Yarrowia lipolytica: one gene and its partner. The protein of the gene in region 1 interacts with the protein of each later gene in a pairwise test. Links are inferred from orthologs where the notes say so. Each region holds a gene or a part of one and is shown on either strand. Other genes may lie near its edges.

What was found.
Region 2: the proteins of YALI1_C07451g (region 1) and YALI1_E14316g interact in a two-hybrid assay, tested with the Saccharomyces cerevisiae proteins (2 studies listed by BioGRID). The link is inferred for Yarrowia lipolytica from reciprocal best matches to the Saccharomyces cerevisiae genes PEX13 and AMD1.

The regions. Positions count from the first base shown.
Region 1 is NC_090772.1:743,128-747,044, forward strand, and holds YALI1_C07451g (uncharacterized protein), read left to right. Parts: upstream 1-2,008; coding exon 2,009-3,247; downstream 3,248-3,917. Other genes in the region: YALI1_C07423g (uncharacterized protein), read left to right, coding at 1-300; YALI1_C07481g (uncharacterized protein), read right to left, coding at 3,634-3,917. UniProt on the Saccharomyces cerevisiae protein: Component of the PEX13-PEX14 docking complex, a translocon channel that specifically mediates the import of peroxisomal cargo proteins bound to PEX5 or PEX21 receptors.
Region 2 is NC_090774.1:1,428,328-1,433,704, forward strand, and holds YALI1_E14316g (uncharacterized protein), read right to left. Parts: upstream 3,283-5,377; coding exon 562-3,282; downstream 1-561. UniProt on the Saccharomyces cerevisiae protein: AMP deaminase plays a critical role in energy metabolism.

The DNA of each region.
Region 1 (3,917 bases):
GACTTCTCCACCGCCCAGCAGATTGGAGTCTCCTTTGCCGGAGGTTACCTGGCCGGTATTCTGTGTGCCGTCATTTCCCACCCCGCCGACGTCATGGTCTCCAAGGTCAACAGTGAGCAGAAGCCCGGCGAGTCCACTCTGCAGACCGTGGAGCGAATCTACAAGCGAATTGGTTTCAAGGGTCTTTGGAACGGTCTGCCGGTGCGAATCTTCATGATTGGTACCCTGACCGGTATGCAGTGGCTCATTTACGATACTTTCAAGCTGTCGGTCGGTCTGCCTACTACTGGAGGTCATTAACGAGCTCAACATTGCGAGATGCGAAGCAGTGACCGTTACTTGGGGGGATTTGAGTGAATTGGAACGAGATGCCCAAGTGACTCCAACTGCTACGACTATAATAGAATGGATTATTAACAGGAACGTGTATTAGACGTGTATGAGAAGAAGAAAGACTACAAGTAGAAGAGACGAGAGACATGAGACCTGACACCTTCCAGTACAGTACATACAGTACCGCCTCGCGCATTTGAATCCAACCCCTGTCCGACCCTCGTCCAAGCTCCAACCCTTGAACTTGATAATGGAACTCAATGCGGTGCCAGGCTCTCCTTCCACCGTTGACAGACGTCATAGTACCTGTTTTCTGAGTCCAAAGACCAAAAGAGCAACCATATCAGTGTCAAAACAGTGGTATCAACTTGATTCCTCTCCGTCCTAGCTCTTGAGTTGGATGTAAACGCGTCTTGGAGCAAGTAGAGACCAGATTACCGATCCAGTCTCTAAGCCTGGGATGAAGACATTGCGCCGAGAATCTCCTAGATCCAACTTGCAGTTTGCAGGATCTTGAGTGATTACTACAGGTAGTCTTTCATCTCCTCATGTTGCTGAAGAGATGGCGGTTTCTGACTCCACGGAGGAGCTGGAAGAATCCGAGCCCGATGCCATGAATGCGACAGTCTCTAGAATGGTTGTACAGATTAGGACATTCATCACTTCAAGTACTCGTACTTGTACCCGTACATTGATTCACAAGTCGAACTCCGACATACTAATTAATTAATTAATTAATTAATTAATTAAATAAATTCTATACGTGCAAATACGAGTGTACCCTTGTACTGGGACTTCAGGTGAATTTGTACCTCACCGTCTTGTGTATTTCACCATCTTCTACGTCACTGTCTTCACATTCTCTCATTCCGATTTTCCGGTTTTTTTTTCTTCTTTTTTTTCTCTGTTTTTTTTTTTCCATTTTTTTTTCGCCATTTTTCAATTTTTTTTTAAATAATCCGGTGCTAACTTCTGAAACTGGTGGCAAAAAGTTAGGGTTGCTTGGAGAGCAAAATCGGATTTTCCGAAAAAGAAACATGCAAAAAAGACTCGCCCCTGATTGGCCAGTTCCCCGATTTCGCACAGAAACCACCAACTGTCCAAAAGTGCTGGACCGCGCCTCGAACCAACGCCTCGGTGTATGCACGGCCGTTAGTTACCCTACACGGTGCACCCCGCCAACGTGATTTTTGCCGAGGTAAACGTGGGGAAAACATGCATGAAAATAAGGTTTCCCACTCTTGTGAAAAAGTAGAGAGAAAAGAGGGAGTTCTTGGAGGCGTTGAAGGTGGAAAAGGGGGGATTTCACGCGGAAATATCACCCATAAAGATCACGTGATCCCAACAGAGGTTCCGGCTTCTCTCTAGGACCGCTGCAGCTCGTTCTGGAGACATCTGTTCTACAATGTTCTCAATGTCAAAATCCAACGTATAAACCCTAAACTACCACTTTCGTTTGAGTTCACCCTCCTCCGAATCTCTCCACAACTTTCTCCCTTGTATTTGCACAGTCTTTATAACTGACGACGGGACACTTCAAACTACGAGTTACAGTAGACAAGCGACACAAAAACAGCAGCTACGACGACAGCGACACAAGCGACACAAACACAGCTCTCTCTCAAAAACACTACACAACACTACACTACACAACACAACACAACACAAGGCAAACATGAGCGTGCCACGACCAAAACCATGGGAAGGCGCCTCTGGCTCTTCCGCAGCCACCGCGACACCGGCGGCAACAGCCACCCCGGCCTCCACAGACGCCGTGTCGTCTTCAGCCGGCAGCGCAACTGGAGCCCCCGAACTGCCGTCTAGACCCTCGGCCATGGGCTCTACCTCCAACGCCCTGAGCTCGCCTATGGGCTCTAGCATGAACTCGGGCTACGGAGGCATGAACTCGGGCTATGGCGGCATGGGCTCGTCTTATGGCTCCGGCTACGGATCATCATACGGCATGGGTTCGTCGTATGGCTCCGGCTACGGCTCGGGACTCGGTGGATACGGATCTTACGGAGGAATGGGCGGCATGGGAGGCATGTACGGCTCTCGATATGGAGGCTACGGCTCGTACGGAGGCATGGGGGGATACGGAGGATACGGAGGTATGGGTGGCGGACCCATGGGTCAGAACGGTCTGGCAGGAGGTACCCAGGCCACATTCCAGCTGATCGAAAGCATCGTTGGAGCCGTGGGTGGATTCGCGCAGATGCTCGAGTCCACCTACATGGCGACCCAGTCGTCCTTCTTCGCCATGGTCTCTGTTGCAGAGCAGTTTGGCAACCTGAAAAACACCCTCGGCTCGCTGCTCGGCATCTACGCCATCATGCGGTGGGCCCGCCGGCTGGTGGCAAAGCTGTCTGGCCAGCCTGTCACCGGTGCGAACGGCATCACTCCTGCCGGTTTCGCCAAGTTCGAGGCTACTGGCGGAGCGGCGGGTCCCGGAAGAGGTCCCCGGCCCTCGTACAAGCCGTTGCTCTTCTTCCTGACGGCCGTTTTTGGTCTGCCTTACCTGCTGGGTCGGCTGATCAAGGCGCTGGCCGCCAAGCAGGAGGGCATGTACGATGAGCATGGCAACCTGCTGCCTGGTGCCCAGATGGGAATGGGCGGCCCTGGTATGGAGGGTGGCGCCGAAATCGACCCTTCCAAGCTGGAGTTCTGCCGGGCCAACTTTGACTTTGTGCCCGAGAACCCTCAGCTGGAGCTCGAGCTGCGAAAGGGCGACCTGGTGGCGGTTCTCGCAAAGACAGACCCCATGGGCAACCCCTCGCAATGGTGGCGAGTGCGAACTCGGGACGGCCGAAGCGGATACGTGCCGGCCAACTACCTCGAAGTGATTCCTCGGCCTGCGGTTGAGGCTCCCAAGAAGGTGGAGGAGATTGGCGCCAGTGCCGTTCCCGTTAATTAGACATGATATTTATTGCATATGTAAACACACATACTGGTGCGACTGCCTTGCACCGTTTTGGACGCGTAGATGGCGACGTAATCAAATGCACCCACTGGTTGCACTTTTTGAATACAAACTGAGGGAGATTGGTGGATCTACAAGTGCCTATACGAGCATATCTAAAGGCATACGATCAGTTGACCAACTTGTTGGTCTTCTGGTGCAAATCCAAGCACCTGGATAGATCTACTGACATTCCAACCGTCAGTTGTGTAGTATGCAATAAATATTTGTCTATTTGATTCGTGGTCATTGTCGTTGTCGTTGTCGTTGTCGTAGTCGTTGTCGTAGTTGTTGTTTTCGTTATTCCAACCTCTGTTCACTCCGTTCACGGGGCACTCTGTTCACTTCTTCTTACCGCCCTTCTTCAATCTCTGCTTCTGGGCAAACCCGACCATGTTCTCCACAACAGCTTCAAACGCCTCCTTGTTCTTGTATCCCAGCGCCAGCTTGTCTTCCCATTGCTTGAGCAGCAGCTTGGCCTCGGAGTTGGCCGTCTTGAGTTGGTTGACCAGCTCCTGAAGCTCTTCCTGCTCCATTCGTTCCCGCTGCTCGGGCCGAATCTCCACCAGCCGTAGCCACGAGTCGAGCTTGAGCTCGGTATCGACCGTCACAGGCGTCTGGGCAC
Region 2 (5,377 bases), on another chromosome or scaffold:
GGGAGAAAGTCGGCCACCCACGTCTTAGCTGCCAAGCAAAAGCGCCCAGAGCCCTTATACGAGAGATTAACATTCTCAATCGTACCAAATGAGTGTTGAATGAGACCAGATAGCAAAACAGTGTGAGATGGGCGAGATATGGAGATGGAGAATAGAAAAAGATGGGAAATCATGAATGGAGAGGGGAAGTTGAGATTCGTGTTTTTGATCCACTGTATGATATATCATGCTCTCCTATACTACGACCATACATTGCCCACCCTACAGTCTGAGTGGCTAATACAACACACTCTAACTGCAAGCTTAGTTTTCTCCCTTCTTTTTTTCACCCAGCCAAAAAGAGTCTGAAAGCGGAACTTGAGAGCGGAAGCAGTTGAGAGCGGGAGTCTGTCTATATCTCAAAGGTGCATTGCATCAGGAAAATGTCTACTGAGTTTCAGACAATGTCCCTCGTTCTATGAATCCATCATGTGATGCTTCTGACGCCCAATCACGCACAAACAATACATGTTACTGTTTTCTAATAACATCTATTACATCAATACAAGTACATGCTTATAATTAACCATGCAGCCGCTCAAACTCCTCAAGATTGGTGTACTTGTCCACCAGAGCAAGCTCGTGGGTCAAAGTCTCGTCTCGGAAGGCCAGACGCACATTGGGCACGTTTGTCTTCTGGATGGTGTTGCCCTCGGGGCCATGGATCTCGTAGTTTTCGCCGATCCAATGCTCCTTGATGATTCGCTCAAAGCCAGATTGCAGTACCGAGTTTCGAGCAAGCTCACACATATCCACGTTGGAAAGCTTGTAAATGAGCGCAGCCACAGAGTACTCCTCAATCAGAGCCTCCTTAGTGTAAGCAAACTGCAGAGGATCATCCGATGACAAGGACACGTTGAGACCCCGCTTGAAGTATGAGTAGAAGGGGTTCTTGTCGAACGTGAGGAACAGCGCATTGTTGGACACGGGAGACATGGCAATGGGGATCTGGTCCAGGTAGTAAAGGTACTGAATGAAGGGCACCTTTCGCAACAGAATACCGTGGTTGATACCCTGAGCAACCAGATAAGTGCACAGAAGATGCTCTGGGTCACCAGCCTCTCCAGCATGGGGTCGCAACTCAAAAGTATTATAGCCCAAACGCTGTCTCCAGGTGTTGATGGAGGCCATGTTGGCGTATAGATAGTACTGCCAGTACGAGTAGGGAGGGTTCTGTGCGCTGTCCCAGTATGCTGCAGTTGGGAACTTTCGGTGGAAACGTCGGTCCAGCTTCGACTCGTCATCGACAGAGTCAAAGCCCACAACTCGCTGCAGGAACACGTGCAGCTTGGGATGGGTACTGGGATCCTTGGTGACCTCGAAAAGAGGCTCAAAGACGTTCTGCACAATGTCGGCAAAGGTGTTAACCAGACCAGCCTTCTTGTAAATGTCGTACAGTCGAGGCACCTGGATCAACCACCGAACATTGGGCGAAAACAGTTTGTTGTCCAGCACCCAGGCAGCCAGCTTGTCCCACTCGTCCTTGGACCGACCGTAGATGGAAATACGGTACTCCGCCATCTGGTACTTCGAGTTCTCGAGATCCTGGAACACCTCCTTTGTGATCTCAGCTAGGTATCGACCCTGGATGTAGTTGTCGGTCTTTAGGAAGATTTCTCGCAGTCGAGACTCACCGACAGGGTTGTACTTGAGGTTGAACTTGTCAAATCGATGGAACGAGTCCTTGTGAGCATGCATATCAAGGGTATCGATAGACAGGTCGTAGGCAGTCAAGTTAAGTGACTCAAACACCTGGGAGAGTGTCAGCTCCCGACCGTCTCGGTGGATGACAACTTCATCAGGGCAGTTCTTCATCTTGTATTTGATGAATCGCAGCAGATGCTTCTGGTTCATGCAGGCAGAGTGGTGAACGTGGGTGTCGACCTTTCGTACGTTGTAAAAGTCTCGATGGGGGTTGGTCTTGGACTCGGTTGTCTCCGTGTACTCGTTGAGCAGGTAGTAGAGGTTCCACTTGGCTTCTAGATATTGCAGTCGTCGGAAAGCAAAAGACTTGGCAGGTCCGTCAGACGAAGCCACAATGAGATCCTCCAGATCCATGTAGTAATCTCGGATTGAGGGGATGGCAACAAACGGCTTATTTTCGTTGAGAGAGCTTTCATCCTCATAGACCTGATAGACACAGGTAGGATCTCGCTTGAAGACCATGTCGTTGGGTCCGGGGATTTCGCAGTCCTCGAATTTGAATTCATCCATTGTCGGGTCTTTCTTTTGGTGCTCCTTTTTGGACGAGCCTCGGAATCGCTTTTCGGTCTCGTGCCAGGAGGGTGGTGGAGGCTCGGGGTAAATTTTCCAGTGCGTCTTGTCATCCTTGGGGTTGTCTCCGTCCTTCTGTAGCGACACGGTTTGGTACTTGTCTCGGAGGTCTCGGCAGTACTGCACCTTTTCGAACATCATGGACAGCTCCTGGGCCACAAGAGGATCTTCTGTGGTGGTGGTGATTTTGACGTCGTTGATGGACATGTTCTTCATGTCGTCCTTGGTGCGGGTGCGTTTGAGAGTAGGAGATATGGGCTTGCAGGTGTCTTTCTGGGTAGCATCATAGACAATGTCGTCTTCCGCAGATAGTCGGGCATCGTCATCGCTCTCGTAGGGCTCTTCTTCGAGCGATCCGGTCATGTTGAGCTGCTGGAGACCCTTGCTCAGCGAAGATCCAGACTTGGTTCTGTTTCTGTTGAACTTGCGTCCAGAAGCTCGAGACGACGATCGAGATCGAGTGGAAGATGCGTCATCGTCCTCTGGCTGTTGGTGGGTGTGGCTGGAGGGTGGGGGAGGGGGGTGGTTCATTTCGGCCCGCACAAATGACGAAGATCTGGACACGGGACTCTGAGAGTGCTGATGAGGCAGATGGCCATGAAGAGCTCTGTACTTGGCATCAACCTCGATGAGGTGGCGTTCTTCCGCGTAAGAGAAGTGGGTGGACGCAGATCGGCCCAGCATTCCCAGTTCTTCAAGCTCGTCTTCGTCGTCTTCGCAGCCCACGTAGCCAGCAATCTCGTCTGCTCCGTGAGGTCGAGGAGAGATGGGACCCACAAAATGCGAGTCCAGGTCGTCTTCTTCGGGCATGGGCACAGACTTGGCCTTGCCCTTGATATCCATTGCTTGCTGCGGCATGGTACAGAGGCAATGTCGTGATGGTGTAGTGTGGAGAGGAGCAAGATCAAACGAATTAGCGGGTCCTTCCAACGGCTCTATCTCCAACATGCACAGCAACGTAAACTTCATCAGGGTTTAAGCGACAGTAGCGAGTGCGATGGGGTACAAGTGCTATATGGCGCAAGTGTTTGTGGATTGAGAGCACTATTTATTTAGGGAGCTTTTTTGTATTCTGTAGATTGATACGTTAGTCACATGCTTGACTGCTTGGTAATGAATACCAGCCCCACAAGTTGTTCAGGGTGGAGCTCAGAGTCTGTCATCAATGCAGCACTGCTCCAGATGATAAGCTTTGGAGAAAATCCGATGGAAGATGGTGATGGAACAATGGGGCGTGTGGCGACGGCGGAGTTGGTATGGATGGGGCAACTATGTTGAAGGTGCATAGTCAGTAGCATTTCCGAGTTGACAAAAGTACAAGTAGCACAGCGAGAAGGAGATACGAGTATGTAGTCTAGTGTACTTCTACTGTAATAGTAAGCTGTCTAGAGACAGTAGCTCGCGTCAAAGTGAAACCCGACCAAGGAGATGCTTCGAAACTACAAACAGGGGTAGTCGGAGAGGAGGAAGGGGGAAAGAGGGGCTAATAACCTGGTGGATTCTGAAAATTGAGATTTTTTATAACGATAATATACCATGCTACATTATTCAGTGCATTCACTGGCTACTACGGACTTCAGAAAAGTGTTTCATACACCTGCATTCTCGCTTAAATCGGACTTGGCTTGAACCTTGACAGGACTAGTTCCTGATCAGTGAGTGGTACTTTCTTGGCACCACCCAGGGCTACTAAGTATAGATACATGCGACAATGTCTTCATTTCCTGTTCATCCCTTTCTGTGTTCAAAAAAATGATCCATAGATTCATCTTGTGGAAGCTATCGAGCAGGACAAGCGGCACGATTAAACTCCTATGATTTGCGTCAATTTAATTTCAGTATCTTCGACAGATGGATGTGGAAGTCGAGGCTATTGTATATGAGTATCAAGCTCTGTAGTCCGGTGAGCGCACTACTACATGTAATTCTTCTAAAACACGTTCTTATTATATTCCACCTAGTTCTGTAACAAGTGGCAACTAGGATCGATACCAAAGGGATGCTTGCAGACAACCTCTTCCAGTATTGGTGATATACCACTCATCAGTCTATCAAACTCATGTCTTATACCAAGAAAAAGAAACCAAATACCTATACTCTGCAGGCCTACAAGTTTACAAATGCAATCTCAATATCGGACTCCATGGTCCTGAATCTATTACAGTAACCCAGAGGTTCGGATTTTCGCATACTCCTCTCAAAACTAGATATACAGGTTTGGATAGCCCCATCCTCCTGTGAGGTTCGACTCCTACTCCTTCAGTGAAGTCTTTGCAGGCCTAAGATCAATTTCTCTGGCTCTTTGCTCTGTCTGTGTGTTCTGGCATTGGCACTTGTTGCTCTTGGACTTACTGGCTCTTTCTCAGATCAATTGCAGCTCCTACAGCCTGGCTCTGACTTATTGCTCTTTTGACCCTGCAACCGTCTGTCGATGCTGATTTTTGCTCTAGCAACTCAGCACTGGTGGCACTGGTCATCTGCTTTGCTCTTCAGTATCTAGGCGGCTCTCTCAAACCGGGACTCCACCTTCGAGTATGAAAAGGAGTATATCAACAGGGATTCTACCCTAGAGTCTCCCGTCGATAATCTGGCGACTTTTTTGTCCATTGCTCATGGAGTGTTTCAACTCATTAACGGTCAACCTCATGGACTTGACCCTGACACTTGGGGCTGTGTCCTTGTCGTGAAAGACTGTGCTTATCAGCTCGGCATTAAAGGCACCTTCCGTCTTCAGAGCGACTCATAGTGAACTGGTCTTGTTCTATGGAAACCCGGGGTCTGGAGAAGATGAATATAGTTCTTGTAAAGTTCGTCACCTTGCAAATAAATGGCACGGCATGCTGGTTCTTGTGTATAGATACGAAACGAAGAGAAGGACTTGGAATGAGGTGGACTAAAATATTACTGTAGATGGAATTGCAAGTTGGAAACGCCGGTTAATAACTTTAGATAACATCGGTCCAAGTAGCTCTGTAAAACCACTTTACGGGCTCTAGTGTTACCCATATATGCCACTTGATTTGCGGTCCTTTGCATGTACACATTCTTTTGCCATCTCCCCGTC